Saccharomyces cerevisiae S288C: one gene and its partners. The protein of the gene in region 3 binds, or shares a complex with, the protein of the main gene of each other region. Each region holds a gene or a part of one and is shown on either strand. Other genes may lie near its edges. A codon is read from its position in the direction of its gene.

Evidence for each region.
Region 1: the proteins of TAF5 (region 3) and TAF9 are in contact, whole or in part, in a cryo-EM structure (PDB 6T9I), measured with the Saccharomyces cerevisiae proteins. Residues at the interface, in NP_009757.1 of Saccharomyces cerevisiae: Phe104 (codon at 4,133), Pro105 (codon at 4,136), Gln107 (codon at 4,142), Ser109 (codon at 4,148), Ile110 (codon at 4,151), Pro111 (codon at 4,154), Pro112 (codon at 4,157), Arg154 (codon at 4,283), Tyr539 (codon at 5,438), Arg550 (codon at 5,471), Leu551 (codon at 5,474), Ala559 (codon at 5,498), Leu560 (codon at 5,501), Val561 (codon at 5,504), Ser562 (codon at 5,507), Tyr563 (codon at 5,510), His568 (codon at 5,525), Phe575 (codon at 5,546), Leu578 (codon at 5,555), Gly579 (codon at 5,558), His580 (codon at 5,561), His587 (codon at 5,582), Gln589 (codon at 5,588), Thr590 (codon at 5,591), Leu593 (codon at 5,600), Cys596 (codon at 5,609), Asp597 (codon at 5,612), His598 (codon at 5,615), Ile599 (codon at 5,618), Pro601 (codon at 5,624); in NP_013963.1 of Saccharomyces cerevisiae: Lys106 (codon at 2,351), Pro110 (codon at 2,339), Lys111 (codon at 2,336), Met114 (codon at 2,327), Leu115 (codon at 2,324), Leu117 (codon at 2,318), Ala118 (codon at 2,315), Arg121 (codon at 2,306), Asn122 (codon at 2,303), Lys124 (codon at 2,297), Ala125 (codon at 2,294), Leu126 (codon at 2,291), Pro127 (codon at 2,288), Gln128 (codon at 2,285), Val129 (codon at 2,282), Met130 (codon at 2,279), Gly131 (codon at 2,276), Trp133 (codon at 2,270), Gly134 (codon at 2,267), Val135 (codon at 2,264), Arg136 (codon at 2,261), Leu137 (codon at 2,258), Pro138 (codon at 2,255), Pro139 (codon at 2,252), Tyr142 (codon at 2,243), Cys143 (codon at 2,240), Leu144 (codon at 2,237), Thr145 (codon at 2,234).
Region 2: the proteins of TAF5 (region 3) and TAF6 are in contact, whole or in part, in a cryo-EM structure (PDB 6T9I), measured with the Saccharomyces cerevisiae proteins. Residues at the interface, in NP_009757.1 of Saccharomyces cerevisiae: Trp162 (codon at 4,307), Ser166 (codon at 4,319), Leu167 (codon at 4,322), Glu168 (codon at 4,325), Ile169 (codon at 4,328), Tyr170 (codon at 4,331), Lys248 (codon at 4,565), Thr249 (codon at 4,568), Asn252 (codon at 4,577), Leu253 (codon at 4,580), Tyr256 (codon at 4,589), Glu260 (codon at 4,601), Glu434 (codon at 5,123), Ser441 (codon at 5,144), Arg442 (codon at 5,147), Ile445 (codon at 5,156), Lys446 (codon at 5,159), Leu447 (codon at 5,162), Asn449 (codon at 5,168), Leu450 (codon at 5,171), Gln451 (codon at 5,174), Leu452 (codon at 5,177), Ala453 (codon at 5,180), Leu454 (codon at 5,183), Pro455 (codon at 5,186), Ser456 (codon at 5,189), Val457 (codon at 5,192), Cys458 (codon at 5,195), Met459 (codon at 5,198), Tyr460 (codon at 5,201); in NP_011403.1 of Saccharomyces cerevisiae: Gln51 (codon at 3,688), Lys54 (codon at 3,697), Phe55 (codon at 3,700), Arg57 (codon at 3,706), His58 (codon at 3,709), Ser59 (codon at 3,712), Lys60 (codon at 3,715), Arg61 (codon at 3,718), Asp62 (codon at 3,721), Lys71 (codon at 3,748), Val75 (codon at 3,760), Asn91 (codon at 3,808), Pro129 (codon at 3,922), Arg130 (codon at 3,925), Leu131 (codon at 3,928), Pro132 (codon at 3,931), Thr133 (codon at 3,934), Phe134 (codon at 3,937), Thr135 (codon at 3,940), Thr136 (codon at 3,943), His137 (codon at 3,946), Trp138 (codon at 3,949), Leu139 (codon at 3,952), Ala140 (codon at 3,955), Val141 (codon at 3,958), Glu142 (codon at 3,961), Gly143 (codon at 3,964), Val144 (codon at 3,967), Gln145 (codon at 3,970), Ile149 (codon at 3,982).

The regions. Positions count from the first base shown.
Region 1 is NC_001145.3:738,896-745,636, reverse strand, and holds TAF9 (chromatin modification protein), read right to left. Parts: upstream 2,667-6,741; coding exon 2,193-2,666; downstream 1-2,192. Other genes in the region: BCH1 (exomer complex subunit), read right to left, coding at 1-1,888; GTPase-activating protein RNA1, read left to right, coding at 2,902-4,125; RNH1 (RNA-DNA hybrid ribonuclease), read right to left, coding at 4,325-5,371; TRI1 (Tri1p), read right to left, coding at 5,772-6,452; FUS2 (Fus2p), read right to left, coding at 6,678-6,741. UniProt on the Saccharomyces cerevisiae protein: Functions as a component of both the DNA-binding general transcription initiation factor complex TFIID and the transcription coactivator SAGA complex.
Region 2 is NC_001139.9:295,789-303,265, reverse strand, and holds TAF6 (TATA-binding protein-associated factor TAF6), read left to right. Parts: upstream 1-3,537; coding exon 3,538-5,088; downstream 5,089-7,477. Other genes in the region: CUE3 (Cue3p), read left to right, coding at 1-1,729; ribosome biosynthesis protein NSA1, read right to left, coding at 1,897-3,288; SLD3 (Sld3p), read right to left, coding at 5,328-7,334.
Region 3 is NC_001134.8:614,087-622,346, reverse strand, and holds TAF5 (chromatin modification protein), read left to right. Parts: upstream 1-3,823; coding exon 3,824-6,220; downstream 6,221-8,260. Other genes in the region: phosphatidylinositol-3-phosphate-binding protein BEM1, read right to left, coding at 1-1,475; KTR4 (putative mannosyltransferase), read right to left, coding at 2,044-3,438; YBR197C (uncharacterized protein), read left to right, coding at 6,491-7,144; YBR196C-B (uncharacterized protein), read left to right, coding at 7,717-7,821; YBR196C-A (uncharacterized protein), read left to right, coding at 8,174-8,260. UniProt on the Saccharomyces cerevisiae protein: Functions as a component of both the DNA-binding general transcription initiation factor complex TFIID and the transcription coactivator SAGA complex.

The DNA of each region.
Region 1 (6,741 bases), on a different chromosome or scaffold from region 3:
CTGAATCCCTCCTAATACGCTTATGCTCGTCAATGTAAAACTGTAATAGATTCTTTGCGCATACTGGAGAAAATCTTTGGGAAAGCCCAATTTGGAAAGCCTTCGCAGCTTCTGGAAGATGTCCCAGTCTTTTCGCACAAAGGCCGAATAATTCCCATTCAACAGTTAATTTGTGATATTTACTGTTTTGAGCATCAAAATACAATTGCTCTGATTGCCAATCGGTGTAAGTTTTCAAATCTTCGTATAGTAACATGAAGAGATTATCCAACCATCTTTCGCATAGCCTCTTTGATCTCATTTTGGATATATCATTACCGCGAACTTCTGCTTCATCAATGGAAGAAGTGGAGCCTTGGTACTCGTCTTCCATAACGAAAATTTTTGATCTATATTTCAACAGCTGCTCCCATCCTGTTATTTGGACAATTTCTGTCAATAATTTATAGGCTAGTTGGAAAGTAGACTTTAAACTTGACGCAGAGAGATTGACTAGGTTTGGATCTGCGGACTTTTGCTCCAACTGGACATCCATGGGGTTCAATGACGAAATCTCCTCAATTGAGGCATCCAATGGTAATGGCAGATGAAGATTTTCATCTGAAGTAATAGGCGCAATTCTTCTAAGAACGTATTTTTCCTTAACCTGTGACATGGGGCAGGCGTTTAACGATAGCAAGGCATTTGACATATCGTTTAGTTTAATGTATATTCTAGTCAATAAATACCAAGTTTTAAATTCGTTTGGTGCACAGTTAACAGCCTCCATGGCTACTTCCTTAGCAAGCTTGTAATCTCTCTTGACATCCAGTAAGAATTCACTTTGAATACTTAATAATTCGGATTTGAAGATTAGCTGGATATGGCTAGTCTTTGAATCGTCGGCTAAGAACGAAGAGGGGGAATTTAGTTGCTCGTTGATCAGGTCAACTGCATCTATCTCTAAATCGCACGCAAAATAAACACGAATTAATATTATTACTGCTTCTGGATGAATTTCTATTAACTTCTTGAGCATTTTACGACATGCTTCCAAACTCTTAGTTAACCTAACTATTTCCACTAAAGTTTCCACTAAATAATTATTGGTTAACGAGGGATTTAAAACGTGAGTAGGTGCATCTAAATAAACACCTTTTTCATAGACCAAGGGGAACAGTTTAATAAAGTTATTGGCAACATCTTCCAACTCACCCGAGGTAAATGGATTGAAAATTAGTGTTTCTACCAAATTCTGGGATTCTCCATCCGCACGATTATCTTTCATAATCATAATGTCACGTACAATACCACTCATAAACGTTTCCGCCCAAATCATGTTGACGTTTAAATCCTGTGAGTTGCGGCCAGATGACGCTTCTGCCACGGAGGGAAGTTGCGATTGTTCACCGTCGCTATTTATAATGTAGGTTTGCACAGTTCCTGGAATGTGAACTATAATGTTAACATCATATTTCCTAAACGCATTCCAAGAACTGATAGAAATCTTCGATACGTGAAAGTGCTTCTTCTTACCAAACCAAATTTGGGGCGTGTCTAAGAAAAGATCGGTTATCTTTTTGGCAAAGATTGTAATAGAAGTTGGATCCGAAGTATCGATACCCATACAGTAAAAGAAAGTGCCGATCTGCCCCTTTAATTTGTCATGGGAATGTAACTCCGTAACTATGGTCGTAGGATCTTGTCCATTGATGTTTGAAGTTGCTCCGTTATCGTTGGCGGAGGCAGTAGCAGTTGTTGTGCTCGAGGATGAAGGTAACGATTTGATCAAAGTAATTAAATCAGGCGGACCCAAGTCTTGGAATTGTCCCACTCTGGCTCTCCTCTGGTGTAGCGCATAGCCTATCACGTCTTCTTTCACTTCCGGTATGGAGGTTTGAGACAACATGGTTAGGACTTCAAGTTTTCAGTTTATCCTTTTCACGTTCTAAAAATCAATACAGCGCGGAAAGTGCTCTCAAGAAGATGAATTGAGATGTTTAAGGGTCCATTTGTTACTACATTATCGTGTAGATCTCATTTCTCTAACTTTCCATGTAGGAAAGGGCAGGCAGGAAAAAGAACATTAGAGAACATGATCACGATACACGACTAGCGCATTATTTAGTGTATATTACTCTATTATGCATTCTACATGACGCATCTTCCGGAAGAACTTGATTTAGTGTACTTATGATATATAAGCGGTGCATTCACATAGACTTTGGGTCCTCAAGGTCCCACTCCTTCGCTGTGAGACAATATTTTTCTGGGGGAAGCCTGACACCCCACGTACCCATCACTTGAGGTAATGCCTTCTTGTTTCTTTCCGCAGCTAACTGTAACATGAGCTCCTTAGGTGCCGTAGGCTTAAATTGGTATTGTGTTCTCGCTGCAATGGCAAGCCGTATGTCTTCTACTCCTAATCCACTGCCGGCAGAATTTCCACTGCCAGCGTAGTCGTTGTAAACCAACGCGTCCTTAAGGACTCCTTGTGTGTACCTATGTGCAAAATCCATCAATTGTAGCGGTACTTGGTCCTCATATTGATGAATCGACTGTGATGCGAGGAGCAGATGCAAAAGACGGACATCTCGTGGCGTTTCCTCTTGTGTTGAGTCCGGACCAACTTCTGATACTGAGCCCACTGAGTTTTTATTCAAAACATTCTTGCCTCCGCCGTTCATAATGGTCTGTGAAGTCCTCTAGTCTTTTCTTGTTGTCGTGTTGTTTCATAATGTCAAATTCTACTTTTGATTTAAAGCTCTTAGTTTGGTCATGGAATGCATGTCACTATGCACGTTGTGGGACAATTAATGGAAAAAAATTTATTAGGAAGATATTGATCAAAGGCATAATATCACGGTAAAAGGTGAATATAGGCCATTTTAACAGGCTGTCTTTCGAAACAGATTTTTAGCTATGGCTACCTTGCACTTCGTTCCTCAGCACGAGGAAGAACAAGTTTACTCCATCTCTGGGAAGGCACTCAAGTTAACAACCAGTGACGATATCAAACCATACCTGGAAGAATTGGCAGCTTTGAAAACCTGTACCAAATTAGACCTTTCAGGGAATACAATCGGTACTGAAGCTTCGGAAGCATTAGCTAAATGCATCGCTGAAAATACACAGGTCAGGGAATCTTTGGTTGAAGTAAATTTTGCTGACTTATACACTTCGAGGTTGGTTGACGAAGTCGTTGATTCGTTGAAGTTTTTATTGCCTGTTCTGTTGAAATGTCCTCACTTGGAGATTGTGAACCTTTCTGATAATGCGTTTGGGCTAAGAACAATCGAGTTACTAGAAGATTACATTGCACATGCCGTGAATATCAAACATTTGATCTTAAGTAACAATGGTATGGGCCCTTTTGCTGGTGAAAGGATTGGTAAGGCCCTATTTCATCTCGCTCAAAATAAGAAAGCTGCTTCCAAACCATTTTTGGAAACTTTTATCTGTGGTAGAAATAGATTAGAGAATGGATCCGCAGTCTACTTAGCTCTGGGTTTGAAAAGCCACTCCGAAGGTTTGAAAGTCGTAAAGCTGTACCAAAATGGTATTAGGCCTAAAGGTGTCGCCACGCTAATTCATTACGGTTTACAGTACTTGAAAAACTTGGAAATCTTGGATCTTCAAGACAATACTTTCACGAAACATGCTTCTTTGATCCTTGCTAAGGCCTTGCCTACATGGAAGGATAGTTTATTTGAATTGAATTTGAACGACTGTCTTTTGAAAACTGCTGGTTCAGATGAAGTCTTTAAAGTATTCACCGAAGTTAAATTCCCCAATTTGCATGTCTTGAAATTCGAATATAATGAAATGGCTCAAGAAACCATTGAAGTATCCTTCTTACCGGCTATGGAAAAGGGAAATTTACCTGAATTGGAAAAGCTAGAAATAAATGGTAACAGATTAGATGAAGATTCTGATGCTTTAGATTTGCTCCAAAGCAAATTTGATGATTTAGAGGTTGACGATTTTGAAGAGGTCGATAGTGAAGATGAGGAAGGCGAGGACGAGGAAGACGAGGACGAGGATGAAAAACTCGAAGAAATTGAAACGGAAAGGCTTGAAAAGGAACTGCTAGAAGTACAAGTAGATGATCTTGCTGAACGTTTAGCTGAAACTGAAATCAAATAGCTATGAATAAAAGTAAAAATAAACACAATCAACTGTGGACGAGGTTCAGGCAAATATCATGGTGACACGCTTATAGATAGTTATCGGGTAAGTTAAAAAACCAAATAGCTGATGTATGTATATGTATGCAAAAGATATAAAATATATATTTCTATTACAGGTACAACAGGTCCAGTAAGAAGCCAAGCAAAAAACAGCATTATCGTCTAGATGCTCCTTTCTTCGCCAGAAAATCTGCCATTTCATTTCCTGGATCACCATCGTGTCCTTTTACCCATTCAATCTGAAATTTACCATTATTTTTGAAGCACTCTTTATTCAACTCATAGTACTTTTTAACTTTAACGAACCTCTGCACCAAAGGAACAATTAAATCAGAATTAGGTAGCCCTTCAAGTTTTTTATTATCATACGTCATATACCTGTCATTTAATAATTTGGTTACGTACTCTGAATCAGTTTTGATTTGATAATTTACTTTTTCCTTTTCATTAGTTAACTTTTCCCAGATTTTCTTCAAAGCTTCTGATACTGCTTCGATTTCAGCTCTATTATTAGTTTGAGCTCCCGATAATAAGGGTTCTGAAATATTTTCCTCTGGCGCTCCTTCAAAATATGCACCATAACCTGCCCTTGAAGATGACGTGCCGTTTCCAAAACTTGAACCATCACAGTAAACGTTCATAGACTTGTTGTACATGGTATTGCTAGAAAGCTTATACTTAGATTCAAAACTTTCTTTGGATATATTCATGAGCTTGTAATCATGCGCACTCATACCACTAATGAAGTTTTCCGCAGCTAATTGGTCTTCAAACTTCTTGAAGGTTATACCCCTTTTATGCTTGACATAGGCTTGACAGTCTTTCCAATTGTTAAAGATTTTACTCTCGATATTTGGAACATTACTCTTTACTGAATAAAAGGTATTTGTATTAGCAGAGCTTAAAGATGAACATGCTGATGACGATGTCAAGGAGGAATAATGAAGTGGCCGATTCCTTCGATGAACTCGCTTTTGAGTGGTATGAGGTTTACTAACTTGCCCTCCAGCATGCGTTGAACTTCCATAGTTTGATGTAGTATTTGGTTGACCTAGGAAAGATTTCGCTTGCTCGTAGCTGTTAAATTTTTTATAAATTGCACCACCATAACCATCAACTTGGTTTTTACATTCATTCCATGTATTATAGATCCCAGTTTCCCTGCCCTTTCTAACCGCGTAGAAGTTCCCTTGCCTTGCCATAATTAGGAATCGATAGTTCCTTCGATAAGCAAGGAGTGACACTTTAACTAATTTAAACAACGTGTATTATTGTGCTGCCATGAAATTAATATAGATCTTTACGACTATTGTACTTGCTTTTATTCATTGTTGATGCTGCTGTCATTTTTACATTTTTTTCTCCAGATAAAAAATAAAAAAAATATGCCATTAATTGATATCATCAGAATTTGACGAAATTCTCAAATCGAATTTGCCATAGTATTTCTTTAACGCCGTGAAGTGAAATTATTTATTACTAATGCTACATTAATTGTTAATTTACCTGTTTCAAGTACAATACAGTAGGTGCAGTGTGCTTTATACATGTCATCAAAGAGGAAAAAAAATCATTAAATTTGTATAAGTGCTACAGCCAAGATCAACCGCTTAAATTGGGAAGAGATTCGTTTTCCAATTTGATTTCTTTTTCGGGTGTTTGCTTTTGTTCCTCTTCATGTTTCACAATTTCATCGGGATTAAACAAGTGCTTAGTTAAGAGTTTATTCATTGAAAACATCGTCATTTTTTTGCCAAAAATTGGTTCCATCTTCTCATCGCATAGAATTTCTCTACGATCTTTTGGGTTTTGAAGATCATGCTCTTTGATATACTGCCATATCATCTTCACTACTTGCGTTCGTGGCAGTTCTTCAGATCCTAGAAACTTTTGTAAAGGAGCTGACAACAGAACTTTGCGGACGGAAATGCTGTTGGAATCAGGACTATCATTCTTTTTCTTCTTCCTTTTAGATTTACTTTCACTTTTACCTTTCCTTTTCCTCGTAGACCTCAAGGGTCTTTCTTCTTCCTTCTGTAACCTCAAAGATAGTTCTTGATCCCGACTAATGAGGTCGTTCTTCGGAATTAAGACTCTTGGGTTTTCTTGTATATCGCCGAACCTCTCAAGAATCAATTCATTAATTAACTTTCTTTGTGAATCCAAATTAACTGAATAGAGAATTTGCAGGGCTTTCCTCACCCTTTTTGGGCTTATTTCATCGGGGTTGGATACGCTCAAAATAGCGTCAACCATCGGAATATATTTATTGATGTCGGCCATAATGCTTTCACCCTCTATTTGCCTTCTATTTGCTCATTTCCTCTTAAACTTTTTCTTAAGGCTTTTCATGAATTAATTAAAATTTTCTTTCTCCTTCGCGCCAGCAAACAAATTATAGGTGACTGACTATAGTTCAACATATATACTGCTCCAGCGCAGTAGTACTACTTTAATAAAAAAGAAAACAAAACATTCTAAAAACTATAAGCTAAATATACTCTTTTGTTAAAGTTCGAAAAGTTTTCTGACAACACGGCTTCCACTAGGGTCTCCAGGGAAAGGCCAATCT
Region 2 (7,477 bases), on a different chromosome or scaffold from region 3:
TGTAACGTATTTTGAGTATTTGATGCAAGGTGCTAACGTTGAATTATTAGATGAATCTACACTTGATCATCTTCGTTTATTTTTGAGAACTTACTTGCATGAAATTGCTGATGAGGAAGGAAAGTTATTAAGTCTCGGTATCAACCATGATGTGTCTGAACAGTTATATTTACTAAAAGGCTGGATATTTTCATTGATCAAGAAATGCGGGTTATTACATCTTCAGATTTTTGGTGACTCCCTGTGGAATTTGATCAAAGTATATGTTAGACGTAATCCAGATTCTATTCGTGGTTTGATCGATGGCTCATTGAAACCACGGATCAACACGCAACGTGTACAATTGGACAAATCGTACCAAGTTCAACAGCATTTGAAGCAGTTAATAGAATCTGGAAAATTTAAAAGAATAGATTTAAGGTGCGTTGAAGATCTGCTGTCTGCCAAATCCATGCAGCCAAATAAGTTTGCGGAGAACTTCTTTACGGCAAATTGGATTGAAATTTTAGAGGCATTATGGGCAAAGGGACAGGGCCGGGGTCATAAAGAGGCTAGAGAATTGATCATTATCAGTTTATTTTCTGTTTCTGCTGATCGTTTACTAAAAATAACTAAAGAATTAGGCATAAGCAATTTTGAAACTTTGGCGTTATATCCTCTTTTAGGAACAATGCTCATAAATGAAGGAGTCCACAAAAGGCTTCCTGATTTGAAGAGCAAGTTACTATTTCTGAATTTAGGGGGGTTGTCAATGGACGAAGGAGACCATATGAGCTATCCAACATCATCAGGTACTGAAGTTAATGAAGAACAACTGTCCGCGTTGATGGAATTGTTCCCCCAGTTTTCTAAATATCAATTATCTCAAACGTTGCTTGCCTATGATAATAACATTGAATTAGTAACGAATAAAATATTTGAGGATCCTACCATTATCGAAGCATTCTCCAGAGAACCTGCGGAGGAAGAAGTAGAGCCGGTGTCAGATGGTGATAATGCATCCTTTACTGAAGAACTGAGTATATTGGATAGAGGAGATAGCTCAAAAAATAAAGAGCTAGACAAAAAGATTATCTCGGAGGGTGTTCCGGATGAATTAAGAAATAAAACTTTGACAAGAGCATTGAAACTTTTATACGAGGCTGATGAAGATGAAAGGGATGACACTTATGATGAAGCCGATGTGAACCGGTCCGATCCTTCGAAAAGAATTGGACTTCAAGAAGACGAAGAAAGCTATGATACAAAAGATGATTCTAATGAAGTGCGACAAGATCATAACTATCATATTGTTGAAGCTTACTTGTGGAATCTATTGAAAGAGGATCCGAAATTATTTGAGAGATCAAAAAGAGGTACAAAAGTCAGGAAAACTATGAAAGAAATGACTTCATGGTCGGATGAAAAAATCGAAGGTTGGTGTCGGATGTTAGAAAGATCTCCTACCCGAGCAAGACTTTTAGAAAAGAAGTTTATGTTCAAAGGAAATAGCAAAACAGGGAAAACGTCTTATGTTCATAATCGTGATAGCCAAAATGATGGAAATGTCGTCAAAGAACAAGCCAAACAAAAAAAATCTGAAAATATTAAGAAACATGAACCTCAATCTACTGAACAGAAGAAAAGACAGCATGCTAAGAATGAAAAAAGGAAAGGGGCTAGAGCTAACCATAACCGTAAGAAGGGGCACGATAAAAAATTGGCTCGTGCGGGAAATAACGCTATTTGATAAAATGCATCAGCATACAAGATAGACAAGCGTATGTAAGTTTACTAGACGGTATACAATTATGTAACGTATTATAAGTTATTCAGCGTCGCGTTCAGGAAGTGCTTTTTTTAATAATTTTTCCCGCCGACTAGTAAAACTTTGCCTTCAATTAGCGTCCTTTACTATTAAATTTTGCTTTTCTTACTGGCTTTAGAAGCAGCTACCTTTCCCTCCAATTTATTCCAAAGCTCATCTGCGTCTTCTTCAAGTTCTGTAACCTTCCTTTTTTGCTTCCCTTTGGCAGCTTTCGCACTTGGACTTAGTGGCATCTCGATTTCAACGTCATCCAGCATAACAATAAAATTTATACGGGACCCAACATAAACCTTCACCAGCATTTTGTTAGTTTTTATATCGAAGATCCGAACATACCTATCTAAACCACCTTGTAAAAGATATTTGCCGTCATGTACATGAATATAGGTTGACGAACCAGTGATATCATCTCTACCCACCTTGCCCAACATTCTTCCATTACCATCGAATTTAAAAACATTCTTTTTGTAGTCAGTAGTAATCACATTCAGTTCATTAAAGGTTTCAGATTGAAAATTCCCCAACGAAGAGACAACATTTTCTCCCTTGGCATCAAAAACTTCCATCTGAGATAATGGTTCACGGTTAGGTAATAAATCTATCTGAGCGAACGGTTTTCTGCCATGTTGTGTGCTGTATTTGGTGAGGTGGGACCAACGGGTTATGGCTGCAAACTGGTAGTTCAGCTTACCCTTTTCAGTTTTACCAGGGGAGGGCTCCAAAAATCTTAGGGCCATGGGCCATACTGGGACTCTCATATCCAACCTGTCGTTTTTAACATTCTTGGCTTCCCAAATTTGCTTTAAAGATTGGAAACTCGAATCTATTTCCACTAATTTTATTAAATTCTCCTCCCCTCCGTATGCAAATATATATTTATCAGTATCGGTATCTTCTAGATCATATAACTGAAGAAATTCTACTGGTGCTTTCAGTCCAAGGGATGCTAGTTTTATTAACTTTTTATCTTCTCCTTTTTTTATAATATGTAATAATCCCGATTTGGTAGCAGCTACGAATGTGTTATTCGACGAATCCTTTTTTATGGGACATAATGTGACAAAACCATCCACCAACTTGGTTCTTTTAACAGATTTACTTGAAAGTGATTCCAATTTGGCATCATCAAAAAGGTCTGAAACTGAGCTGGTTATCTCAAACTCGGATATGTCAAATTTGGGTAGATCATCGGAAAGGCTCTTTTCATTTTTGCTTTCTCCTTTGGGATCGACCTGGAGAGCTTCATTTTCTTTAAGGTGTTTCGAAATCTTTACAAGTTCGACGACCCCTGAATTCCTTGCTAAGATGGCTTCATCTTCGGATATCACCCACATCCTGTCAACGTAAGCTTTCAATCCTTCGGCTAGATGAGGTGCCACATGAAAAGGCTGCAGTGCTGATTGTACGGAAGTGTCAGTCCCGATGTTACACAAAACTTCCTTTATGGATCCACTATCCACACAGCTGACTAGTAACCTCATTTTACGATCGAAGCTGGGCCTATTTATGGTTAAATTTTCTCTGTATTATGTTCATTGAAGTGAGGCTTCGAGATTGGGCATCGCTTTACAAAATTTTTCAGCTTTATTTTATTACCAAAAAAATACCCGGAAACCATCAATAACAAACACCGATTCAAGTAGCAGCAAAAGTAGTTCATGAGCGAAAACAATAGATTGGCTTTAAAAAGGAAGCAAAGGACGCCTCAGTGTAGTTGATAGCCTGTTAAAATGTCTACACAGCAGCAATCTTACACAATTTGGTCTCCACAAGATACTGTTAAAGATGTCGCTGAGTCGCTTGGGTTGGAAAATATCAACGATGACGTGTTGAAAGCACTTGCTATGGACGTTGAATACCGTATTCTAGAGATTATTGAACAGGCAGTCAAGTTTAAAAGACACTCTAAAAGAGATGTTTTAACTACAGACGATGTATCGAAGGCCCTGCGTGTTCTGAATGTGGAACCTTTATATGGATATTATGATGGCTCTGAAGTTAATAAAGCTGTATCATTTAGTAAGGTTAACACAAGTGGAGGACAGTCGGTTTACTACCTGGATGAGGAAGAAGTAGATTTTGATAGATTAATAAATGAGCCATTACCGCAAGTGCCTCGTCTACCAACTTTTACTACACATTGGCTAGCAGTTGAAGGGGTTCAACCTGCCATAATCCAAAATCCAAATTTGAATGATATAAGGGTATCCCAACCACCATTTATTAGAGGTGCTATTGTCACTGCTTTGAATGATAACAGCCTCCAAACACCTGTAACGTCGACGACAGCAAGTGCTTCTGTGACGGATACAGGCGCCTCTCAACACCTGTCTAATGTTAAACCAGGACAGAATACTGAAGTCAAACCTTTAGTGAAACACGTTTTATCCAAAGAATTACAGATTTATTTCAATAAGGTCATTTCAACCTTGACAGCGAAGAGTCAAGCTGATGAAGCTGCACAGCATATGAAACAAGCAGCTTTGACTTCACTACGAACTGATAGTGGCCTGCACCAACTGGTTCCATATTTTATTCAATTTATTGCCGAACAAATCACACAAAATCTTTCCGATTTACAATTGCTAACAACAATTTTGGAAATGATTTACTCTTTACTAAGCAATACTTCTATTTTCCTGGACCCTTATATTCATTCGTTAATGCCTTCCATTTTAACCTTGCTATTAGCAAAAAAACTTGGTGGATCACCAAAAGATGATTCGCCGCAAGAAATTCATGAATTTTTAGAAAGAACGAATGCACTACGTGATTTTGCCGCATCTTTGTTGGACTATGTATTGAAAAAATTTCCTCAAGCATACAAATCCCTGAAGCCAAGAGTAACTAGGACACTGCTAAAGACATTTTTGGACATAAACCGTGTTTTTGGGACTTACTATGGGTGCTTAAAGGGTGTATCGGTACTAGAAGGTGAATCCATCAGATTCTTCTTAGGAAACCTAAATAATTGGGCGCGCTTGGTATTCAATGAAAGCGGAATAACTCTAGACAATATAGAGGAACATTTGAACGATGACTCCAATCCAACTAGGACCAAATTTACTAAAGAAGAAACTCAAATCTTGGTTGATACTGTAATTAGTGCATTGTTAGTTCTAAAAAAGGATTTACCAGATTTGTACGAGGGTAAAGGTGAAAAAGTTACGGATGAGGATAAGGAAAAATTGCTAGAGAGGTGTGGTGTCACTATTGGATTTCACATTTTGAAAAGAGACGACGCAAAAGAATTAATTAGTGCGATATTTTTTGGCGAATAGTGAGAATCGGTTTATACTAATAGTACAACGGTAATGTTATATAACAGTTTTTACATACGCCATTGTATGTATATATATATATATGCATGATGAGTTATTTAATTGTATACTCAAAGGCCCCCGAAGTGCGAAATTGTTGTAGCTTAGTTTTATTTTATTCCCTTTTCGTCCAAGAAAAGCTACAAAGATGGAGTTGGGTCAACTACTTGCCAGCGAAGGTGGTCTCGCAGTTTCTTATTCTATGTGGATTCTGGAGCAAATAAACGTCTTCTTACTCTCCTTTTTGAGCTATTTTCCGGGGGCTTATTAGTGGGAGTAGAGGTAATATTGGAGGTATTTTTTCTGCCTTCATGCGTATCATCATCCTTGAAATTTAGCGGCGATTCAATGATGCTTTGAAGTTGCGCCTTTTTATTAGGTGTCACAGTTCTTTTTTTCACAGCAGGAGTGGCTTGAACTTGTACGTTTTCCTCAGAGTCTACACGTTCATGTAGGCGTATCGTTTCATTGATATCTTTACGTTTCCCAACTCTGCGAAAAGAGTTATTCATAGTTTTGTATGCATTAATAGTTGAGTGCGAGAAAGGCGTTTTGAGTGTGATAGTTGATGAATTCGGTACTCTTGTTGTGCTTAAGTCAGAGACAGAAAACTGCCGTTTTTGTAAATGATTCATCGTTAGATCAGACTTCGTCCTTCCCAATTGTGAAGGGCGCTTTAAGCTTCTAGTTTCACTTTCGAGAAATTCATTCAAGTTAGAGTTCGTTCTAGAATTCAAAAGTTCAGGGGTGGGCGAAGCTATAGATTTTCTGCTGAACAAATTAGCGTCCACCCTTCTCAATGCGGGTGAAGATGGGACGGAATTAATGATTGAAGAGCGAGAGGCACGTTGACTCGTGGATAACCTGTTATACGTTTCTACAGTATTAGGTGACGATACATTTGTGCTATCGTTGACCTTTTTCAGGGCTCTCTTTGGTCTCATGCTTGGTCCCTTGAGCTTTTGAATTATAAATTCAACGGCGTGTGGTACCTTTTTGTTGAAATATGGAATAAGAACATAATTTATGAACCCAACCAATGAGGCTTCTTTGCTTTTGTCTAGGATATTTTTTTTATGCTCTTGTATTGTTCCATTTGATGCTTCTATGGCATCTGGGTTGGGCGTTTCACTTGATAGTAGAATGTCCAAGATGCATGCTCTATCTAAGTACAAGTCTAACTGTTCACAATAATCCAAAGATGTTGTTATTCTCTCGATTCCTTTGTCTTTTTCGCTGGTTTTTTTCTTCGATCTTCGACGAACTAATCCCTTTTTTGTCAAATTAAGTGATCTTTTCTTCAATTTTAATTTATACTTTTTCTCAAAATCTCTAAAATTCCAATCTAAATCGTTCAATCCTATTATCTCTAATAGCAATAATATTTGTAGCTTTATTTCGCGGGATTTTAATACAACACATAAATCAGCAATGGTTGAGCTGTTTTTGTTTTCATCTTGGATAACAAATTTTGTGAGACAGTTCTTCCTTTTTTCATCTGCTATGGGACTAGAAAAGGGCTCTAATAAAAGCCTGTTATCATGTCTATCTTTGAATTGTACAATTGAGAGAAGAAATTTTTGCAGCATGGCTTGATAGGCTATTTTGTAACTGTCACTTCCGTACTTGGTTCGGCAGGTATTTTTGAGCCTTACTAAATTTGACTTGACGAAATATGCGAGAGGCGTATGTATGGAAAAAAGAGCATCATAATACTTACTTTCTATGTACTCTTTAGGGTCTGAATAGTAGTCATTAATTTTTGATTCGCCTTTCATATCTGGGGGATTCATATCCAGTTTAAGGTCTTTGTCCTTCTCAAGCTTACACGAGCCCTTGGGTTCTTCTGACCATAAATGAAGAAGCTCTTTAAATTTCAATTCGTCCCATGTTTTTAACGTTTCACGCTTAGCTCTTTCTCTTTCAACTGTCGTTACAACTTCCGTACGCCTTTCTGGTAAGCTGTAACCATTGAAATAATTGTACGGCCACTTAACCCAAAATCCTGGCCCATATTCCTCTAGTAGAAAATACTCTTTTCTTGATTTCATGCAGATGTGTTTCAATTGACGTCGATTCTTCTGTTGCAGTAATTGGAGAATGTTACTGGGCACGTCCTCGGATTTAATAATAAGTGGATGATCTAAGCTCAAGTCAAGGCCTTTTGTTGCTTCTTTTACCGATGCTATGACTTCCCATGTTTCCATTATGAGAGGTCAGATCGTTCCTACCTATACGATCTTAACCCTTCAGCAGTTATGAATGAGGCTTCTGCCTGTTTTAACAGTGCCCATCACTTTTTTTTATTTTTCTTAAATGGACCATGTTGTACACCAAGATAGCCGATATT
Region 3 (8,260 bases):
AAAGCAAAAATATCGTCTTTGTAATAAAATTTAATTTTAGTAGTTTTCAATCCAGAAGTTGATTGGGCTGGAGCCTGCTTGGAGCCCGATAAAGATAAATCTGAGAGTTTCTTGTTTAACTTCAAGTCTTCGCCAGTTAAAGTGTTGTCTTGGTTAGTTGAGGCAAAATTAGAAGTTTGAGATGCTGTTGCAAAGGTTGCTGTATCGTTTTCTTGTAATGTTTTAATATTGTTTTGATTTTCGTCTCTTTCAAATTCTCTGTCGAAACCATTATTCAAAACAACGAATAAGGAATGCACCATTTCTGAGCGAGATATATAATCGGGAAGATTCACTAGGTCTGCCACATATATATTCAAGTCCTCCTTTCTTTTTTTTGTTATGCTATTGGTAACGTATGGAACGGGTCCAGGGATATAGGGCATTATACGTTTGGACCATTGTCCACCTGCATCCCTCAACTTACCGGCCTCTGCTGGGAACGCATCCAAAAGTTGAACCTGCAGATCGTAGAAATCTTGATAGTATCTTTTCAGTTGCCTCGTCTTACCGTTAGATAATTCACAGCAAACCAAAAACCAATACTTCTCATCTTCTAACCCAAAGGATTCAACGGATGCTTTCACTAATAATTCACCGTCAACCAGCTTTGCGCTTTTGTTCTGAGGTTTTGTAATGGATTGCTGCTGCTGCTGCTCCACAGAACCAAGGCTAATATTACTAGCTTTGTATCTTGCAATGTTGCTTTTCCATTCTTGAACAGTTGGTAGGTTAACTGACTTGATGTCTTCTATTACGTCGTTACCTGTTGCGTACCCCGTGGCAATATCTATGATGCTAACAAACCCAACAGGAACAAGGCCGGGCCCTCCAAGTCGACCAATTGGCTTAGCAATGAACCATTCACAGTTATGGTGGGCGCAAATAAACAAATTCTCTCCCACATAAGTTGTCAACTCATCAGCTTTTTCTGCCTTAAAGTCATATAAAACAATGGCGTATAACGATCCCATGTTTAATGAATCATTTGTAACCTTCCGACTTGAACTATTGGATCCATTCACAGAGGAAGGTTTAGTTCTATCAAACACTTCAAAATAGGTTTTGGGGACAACACCCTCTTTTCCAGTAGAAGGATTTGAAGCTTTATACCAATCCTTCTCATCTCCAGATACATAAAAAAATTCACCTTCCATGAAAGATAGTTCCTTTGAAGTTTGTGCCTGATAACTGTATTTGGCTTTTATAACTTTCTCTGGAGAAGTAATATCTTTAGAATTATGTCTGTTTTTTGGTGAAGAGTCCCGTTGGCTTTTCACTGGGGTGGAAGATGAAGAAAGGTACCTCACTGGTACTGTCTTAATATGCTTTATAACACTCCCATTATCATGAGAAGGTGTGGAAATATCTGCGGATGTAATTCTGCCCTTCGACCCATTACTATCTCTTTTTGAGAGTTTGAAGTTTTTCAGCATTTATATGGCTTTCTTGACAATTTCTTTTCACACAGTGCTTTCAACGTGCATCCATATGGGTTTAGTATATTAGTGAAAACATATGCTGATTAAGATGGTACATCAAATTATGGCTGTATTGTCACTTTCTTTTTTTCCTGTTCGTAAATGAATGGGGCCCTTCGCCATTTGTCCGTTTAGGGTAATATTAGTTAAGAAGCCGTTAAGGCCCGGGAAGAATGTCGAATAACAATAGATAAGAGATATTGTAAAGTTTTTGGATTTCGGTTTACCATATTGTATTGAAATGATTGAAAATATAACGACATTATAATTCCATATTATCAAGTGACATTTTTGAGGAGTAGCTTTCTCAAACCAATAATACCTTCAACAATACTATCTACTGGCTGAGAAACATTTCATTTTCCATGAATGTTCACCTGTAACATTTTTAGGTTGCTACATTATAAACTTTTCTTAATTCCATAATATATATCTATCTATGTGCGTCCTAAATTAAATCATAAAACCCCAGATGTGATGCCGTTCTCGAAAGCAGCGGCACAAATTCTCAAAGCTAATGTCTTCAATACATTTCTAACTCTTCCTCAGACATAGAGTGTCTTATCCAGGTTGCCTGGCAATTTTGGTTGTCTAGATCACTCCAAGGAGTGAATTTGCCTGGTACACAATTTCCATTACACCTATCTGAATCTGCTGGACAAGTTGGACAGTTCGTGTACGGAGTATGGTGATAACCTATATCCCTGAACCAATGGATGCTTGACTTATCCGCAAATAAAGCAAGTGCCAAACTTCTTACAGGGGCATCACCCCACCTTTCATAGTAGAATCCTCCCTTTTCTTCAAGATATTGCATATATTTTTCATAAGGTTCTGACCTCAAAAAGTCTAAATCGACTATTTCAAAATTGGTCCAGAAATGACAAGTTGAATACCCTTGAGTATAATCATAATTTTTTGGATTTTGAGAGTTATCTTTTAGCCATGCGAAGGCTCCGTTGACGTTCAAATAGTTTGGGTGTTCCTCGACAAAATCCATAGTTGAAGTCCATAGCGTTTCGATGGTTTGCGGACTATCATAGAGGTTCAAAACAAACCCATAAATCTTGTCATTCTTGTTCATAAATTGGAAAACGTCATAGTTAATTTTGCAATAGAAATTCACGTTTGGCTCTAATCTCCACACATATTTATATTTAGATAGCAGAGGATGATGGTAAAATTCTTTAGAATAGAAACGACACATGTTATGATAGGATTCCACCTCTGCATACTGAATGTTCTCTTTACTCATTTTGTCCATTTCTTGGTCGTATCTCTCCCTATCTATGCTATCAGGCATATTCCAGTTATCTGGACCAATAGTGCCAAATTCTACTACACGGTCCTTAGGAAGAATACTTTTTATTCCATCTTTGAATTCGTCAGTAAATTCCTCATCGTTAAGGAAGGTATAGGGATATCCAAAATTCTTATTGTACTCCTCTTCTAGCTGTTGAATAGAAGAAATTATATCCTCTAAATCAGAATTTCTCACCAAACTCAAAATAGTTCCTTTTGCCTTGCCGGCTAACGGATCCCCGCTACGTACCAAATTGTCCACCTTTGGCTCAGAAATTTCTTGAAGTAAAAACTCCTCGTACAACTGTTTATTTTCAGCAAGGACTTCATTCGGGTCAAAAGTGTCCTTTTCATAAAGGGGCTCGTGTAGCCTGTCCATTATGCTATCTAACACCTCAGCATCATGATCAGGAAGTTCATCAGCGCTTTCAGTTTTACCTGTAATACTTTTGTAGCTCTCCCGGAGAGAAGCATACTGGGACTTGGCACTATCCTTGACTGCTTGCAAATAGTTCTCATTCGCCGTTAAAAAGTAAAGAACAACGGTTACGGCAATCGATATTAGAATGATCACTGAAAGTACAGGTTTCAGTATCCTTTTTGAAAGAAACCTCATATCAGTTCGTATGGTTCACCTTGTTGGGTCTAAACTAAAAATTGTGTTCTGCTGTAACGGCCTATTGTATATTATACAGCCGTGCAACACCGTGAAAGTATCTGCATATCAAATGGTTCAAAATATTTCACTACATGCAGTTAGAGAACGTCTTATAGAGCTCGTTCCGTTGAATGGAATTCTCCCCTTAGCCGGGTAAAAGTAGCTGTAAATATCATCTTTTACGGGTTCAGATGAATTGTTCAAAAGCAAAAAAGTTTCAAGATTTCAAATGAAGTCTACAAAGTGGCAGAAAGAGCAATAAAGCAGGCATAAGGGTAGGAAAAGAGAAGGAGAAAAGATACGAGAAACTCCGGGTTCAAGTTGAGATACTTGAAAAATAAGAATGTCACAGAAGCAAAGTACGAATCAGAATCAAAATGGCACGCATCAGCCACAACCAGTAAAGAATCAACGAACTAATAATGCTGCTGGCGCCAATTCCGGCCAGCAGCCACAGCAACAGAGTCAAGGCCAGTCTCAACAGCAGGGGAGGTCCAATGGTCCGTTTTCGGCGTCAGACTTGAATAGAATTGTCCTAGAGTACCTGAATAAAAAGGGATACCACCGTACAGAGGCCATGCTGAGAGCCGAGAGTGGACGTACACTAACACCTCAAAACAAACAATCACCAGCAAATACTAAAACAGGTAAATTTCCTGAACAATCATCAATTCCTCCGAACCCCGGGAAGACAGCTAAACCCATAAGCAATCCAACTAATTTGTCATCCAAGAGAGATGCAGAAGGTGGTATAGTATCTAGCGGGCGACTAGAAGGGCTCAACGCACCTGAAAATTATATACGTGCATATTCAATGTTGAAAAACTGGGTAGATTCGTCGCTGGAAATTTACAAGCCGGAACTAAGCTACATCATGTACCCAATATTCATTTATTTATTTTTAAATTTGGTGGCCAAAAATCCTGTTTACGCCCGTCGTTTCTTTGATAGATTTTCTCCCGATTTTAAGGACTTCCATGGCTCAGAAATTAATAGACTTTTCAGTGTCAATTCTATAGATCACATCAAGGAAAATGAGGTCGCAAGTGCTTTCCAATCTCACAAGTACAGAATTACTATGTCTAAAACCACTTTAAATCTTCTCTTATATTTTTTGAATGAAAATGAGAGTATTGGAGGTTCATTAATAATTAGTGTAATAAATCAGCACCTAGATCCAAATATTGTAGAATCAGTAACCGCAAGGGAAAAATTGGCTGATGGAATAAAAGTTCTCAGTGATAGTGAAAACGGAAATGGTAAACAAAATTTAGAAATGAATTCTGTTCCTGTCAAGCTGGGACCTTTCCCAAAAGACGAGGAGTTTGTTAAGGAGATTGAAACTGAATTGAAAATTAAGGATGATCAAGAGAAACAACTAAATCAACAAACTGCAGGTGACAATTACAGTGGAGCCAACAATAGAACCTTATTGCAAGAATATAAAGCTATGAATAACGAAAAATTTAAGGATAATACTGGCGACGATGATAAAGACAAAATTAAAGATAAAATCGCCAAAGATGAGGAAAAAAAAGAGAGCGAATTGAAGGTGGATGGTGAAAAAAAAGACAGCAATTTATCTTCGCCAGCACGTGATATTTTACCTTTACCACCAAAGACGGCACTAGATTTGAAGTTGGAGATTCAGAAGGTCAAGGAATCTCGTGATGCCATCAAACTAGATAATTTACAGTTGGCCTTACCAAGCGTGTGCATGTATACATTCCAAAACACAAATAAAGACATGTCATGTTTAGATTTCAGTGATGATTGTAGGATAGCGGCTGCTGGCTTTCAAGACAGTTATATCAAGATCTGGTCACTCGACGGCTCATCACTTAATAATCCTAACATCGCGTTAAATAACAACGACAAGGATGAAGACCCAACGTGTAAAACTTTGGTGGGGCACAGTGGTACAGTATATTCAACAAGTTTCAGTCCGGATAATAAGTATTTACTTTCTGGTTCTGAAGATAAAACCGTCAGGCTATGGTCCATGGATACTCACACCGCGCTAGTAAGCTATAAGGGCCATAATCACCCTGTGTGGGATGTTAGTTTCTCCCCGCTAGGCCATTATTTCGCCACTGCATCGCACGACCAAACCGCAAGGTTATGGTCATGCGATCACATATATCCATTAAGAATATTTGCAGGACATTTAAATGATGTTGATTGTGTGTCATTTCATCCGAACGGTTGCTATGTGTTTACGGGATCCAGCGATAAGACGTGTCGAATGTGGGACGTTTCTACAGGCGACTCGGTTAGGTTATTTCTTGGACATACTGCGCCCGTCATTTCTATTGCTGTTTGTCCAGATGGTAGGTGGTTGTCCACTGGTAGCGAAGATGGTATTATTAATGTATGGGATATTGGTACCGGCAAAAGGTTGAAACAAATGCGTGGCCATGGTAAGAATGCCATTTATTCCTTATCATATAGCAAAGAGGGAAACGTACTTATTAGTGGAGGTGCCGATCATACAGTCCGTGTATGGGATTTGAAAAAGGCCACTACTGAGCCAAGCGCAGAACCAGATGAGCCATTCATTGGATACTTGGGTGACGTTACTGCATCTATAAACCAAGATATAAAAGAATATGGTCGCAGAAGAACAGTAATACCTACAAGCGATTTAGTAGCGTCGTTCTACACCAAAAAGACGCCTGTTTTTAAGGTCAAGTTCAGCAGAAGCAATTTAGCCCTTGCAGGAGGTGCTTTCAGGCCATAATTCACACTGAAAAAAATAACAGCATGGAAGTGATATGTAATAAGTATAACCTAATCCGATATGTAACTATTAGATGCTTTTTCGACATCGTACTTGACCTGCTCGGCGGTTATCATAGCGTCTTCTTTAGCCTTTTTTTTTTCGCTCAGTCATCGGGGCCAAAACAAGAAAGGCGAAGAACAGAAAAATGAAAAATGTAACTGGTTGTTGTAAAAACCTTCCAGAGAAATAAGATGAAATGTATGTTGCTGGCACGAACGAAGACAAATAATGGGAGTGAAGCAAACCCCACCAGTCCAGGTGAAAGTAAGCGACGCGGATTCCACCAACAGAAGGAAATCTAGTAGCCAGGAAGGAAACCCTCAGCTGGTTCAATTAAAGGCAAAGAGCGACAAAGATAAAAGAAAGGGATCTTCAGATTCCACTGCCTCTATAATGGGCAGTTCCAACGCACTTCCGACCAAAAACCTAACCACGCCTCCAGCACTAAACCCCTTAACGACCAGCATTAGTAGGGGTAATACTGCATACGAAAGAAGCGTAAATGGTAGCCGTATAACAATGCACTCAAACCTGGCACCTACGGAGACGCAAGACGTATCATGGTCTGAAATCGATACACTGGATGATGTGAAGAAGATGGCGAAAGAACCTATCGTCAACGACGGGTTCCCACGAGATTTTGAGAGCAATCTCACGCAAATGCGCAAGTCGCACGCTCAACTACTGCGATTAATGAGGGAAAGAAATCAGCGACTAAAGTATGCCAAGCTGAGGAGCCCTCCTCATAAGGATCAGCATAATTCTGCCACGAATAAAGATCAAGAACCAGACGAGGTATTGCATGACCCGGAAATCGCACTTGACGGTGAGAAGTACGTGAGCCAAGTTGTCGATACTATTAAAGATGTTCACCGATGCTGATGACATGTATGGGTTGAAAATATTTAGAGGATGCTAAAAGTCCCGTCTAAAATAGAGGAAGTCATGGATTACATTATCACCTTTATTGTCCTGTTCCGTCTGGCTAATTTGGGACGAGGAACGTTTGTCTCCATTCGCAACCTTTTGAAACCATATGAACGGCGGCTAATCTGACAGATGTCTTATATTTCTAGGATTGTAGAAAGCCTCCTCATCAAACCACCTTGTTTGAAAAAGGCACTAGTGCGGTTGCTTTACTTGATCTAGTATTCTCCTACCTTGGAGCGGTCCCATATCAACTAAATTCAGTTTTCTGACTGAGTTAAAAACTAATGTAGCGACACCACTTCCATTGGTGCCTCCGTTATTTTTTTTTTGTATGTTAATGCTAAATAATACACCGCTATGTATTTCAGGGCACTACTTCTACACATCAACGGTACTAAACATTTCGCTCAAGATCGGTCCGCTTTCACGTATTTGGATGCTATGCAATGTTGACTATTCTTAGTGGATAACATGCGGCATTTCCTGGCGGCTATTTGCATCGCTATGTAAGTGGCAATGTTCGGATGTGGGTAGTACTTTCAAAAGAAAAAATATTACTGAAGAAGGCATACTACGCCAAGACTATTTTATTCTCAGCACTTGTCCTACGTGGGGTTAGAGGCGAGTAAGACTTTGGCCCCGCTGCGGAAGCAAAGAGAATTTTGCCATCGGACATGCTACCTTACGCTTATATCTCTCATTGGAATATCGTTTTCTGATTAAAACACGGAAGTAAGAACTTAATTCGTTTTTCGTTGAACTATGTTGTGCCAGCGTAACATTAAAAAAGAGTGTACAAGGCCACGTTCTGTCACCGTCAGAAAAATATGTCAATGAGGCAAGAACCGGGATGGTAACAAAAATCACGATCTGGGTGGGTGTGGGTGTATTGGATTATAGGAAGCCACGCGCTCAACCTGGAATTACAGGAAGCTGGTAATTTTTTGGGTTTGCAATCATCACCATCTGCACGTTGTTATAATGTCCCGTGTCTATATATATCCATTGACGGTATTCTATTTTTTTGCTATTGAAATGAGCGTTTTTTGTTACTACAATTGGTTTTAC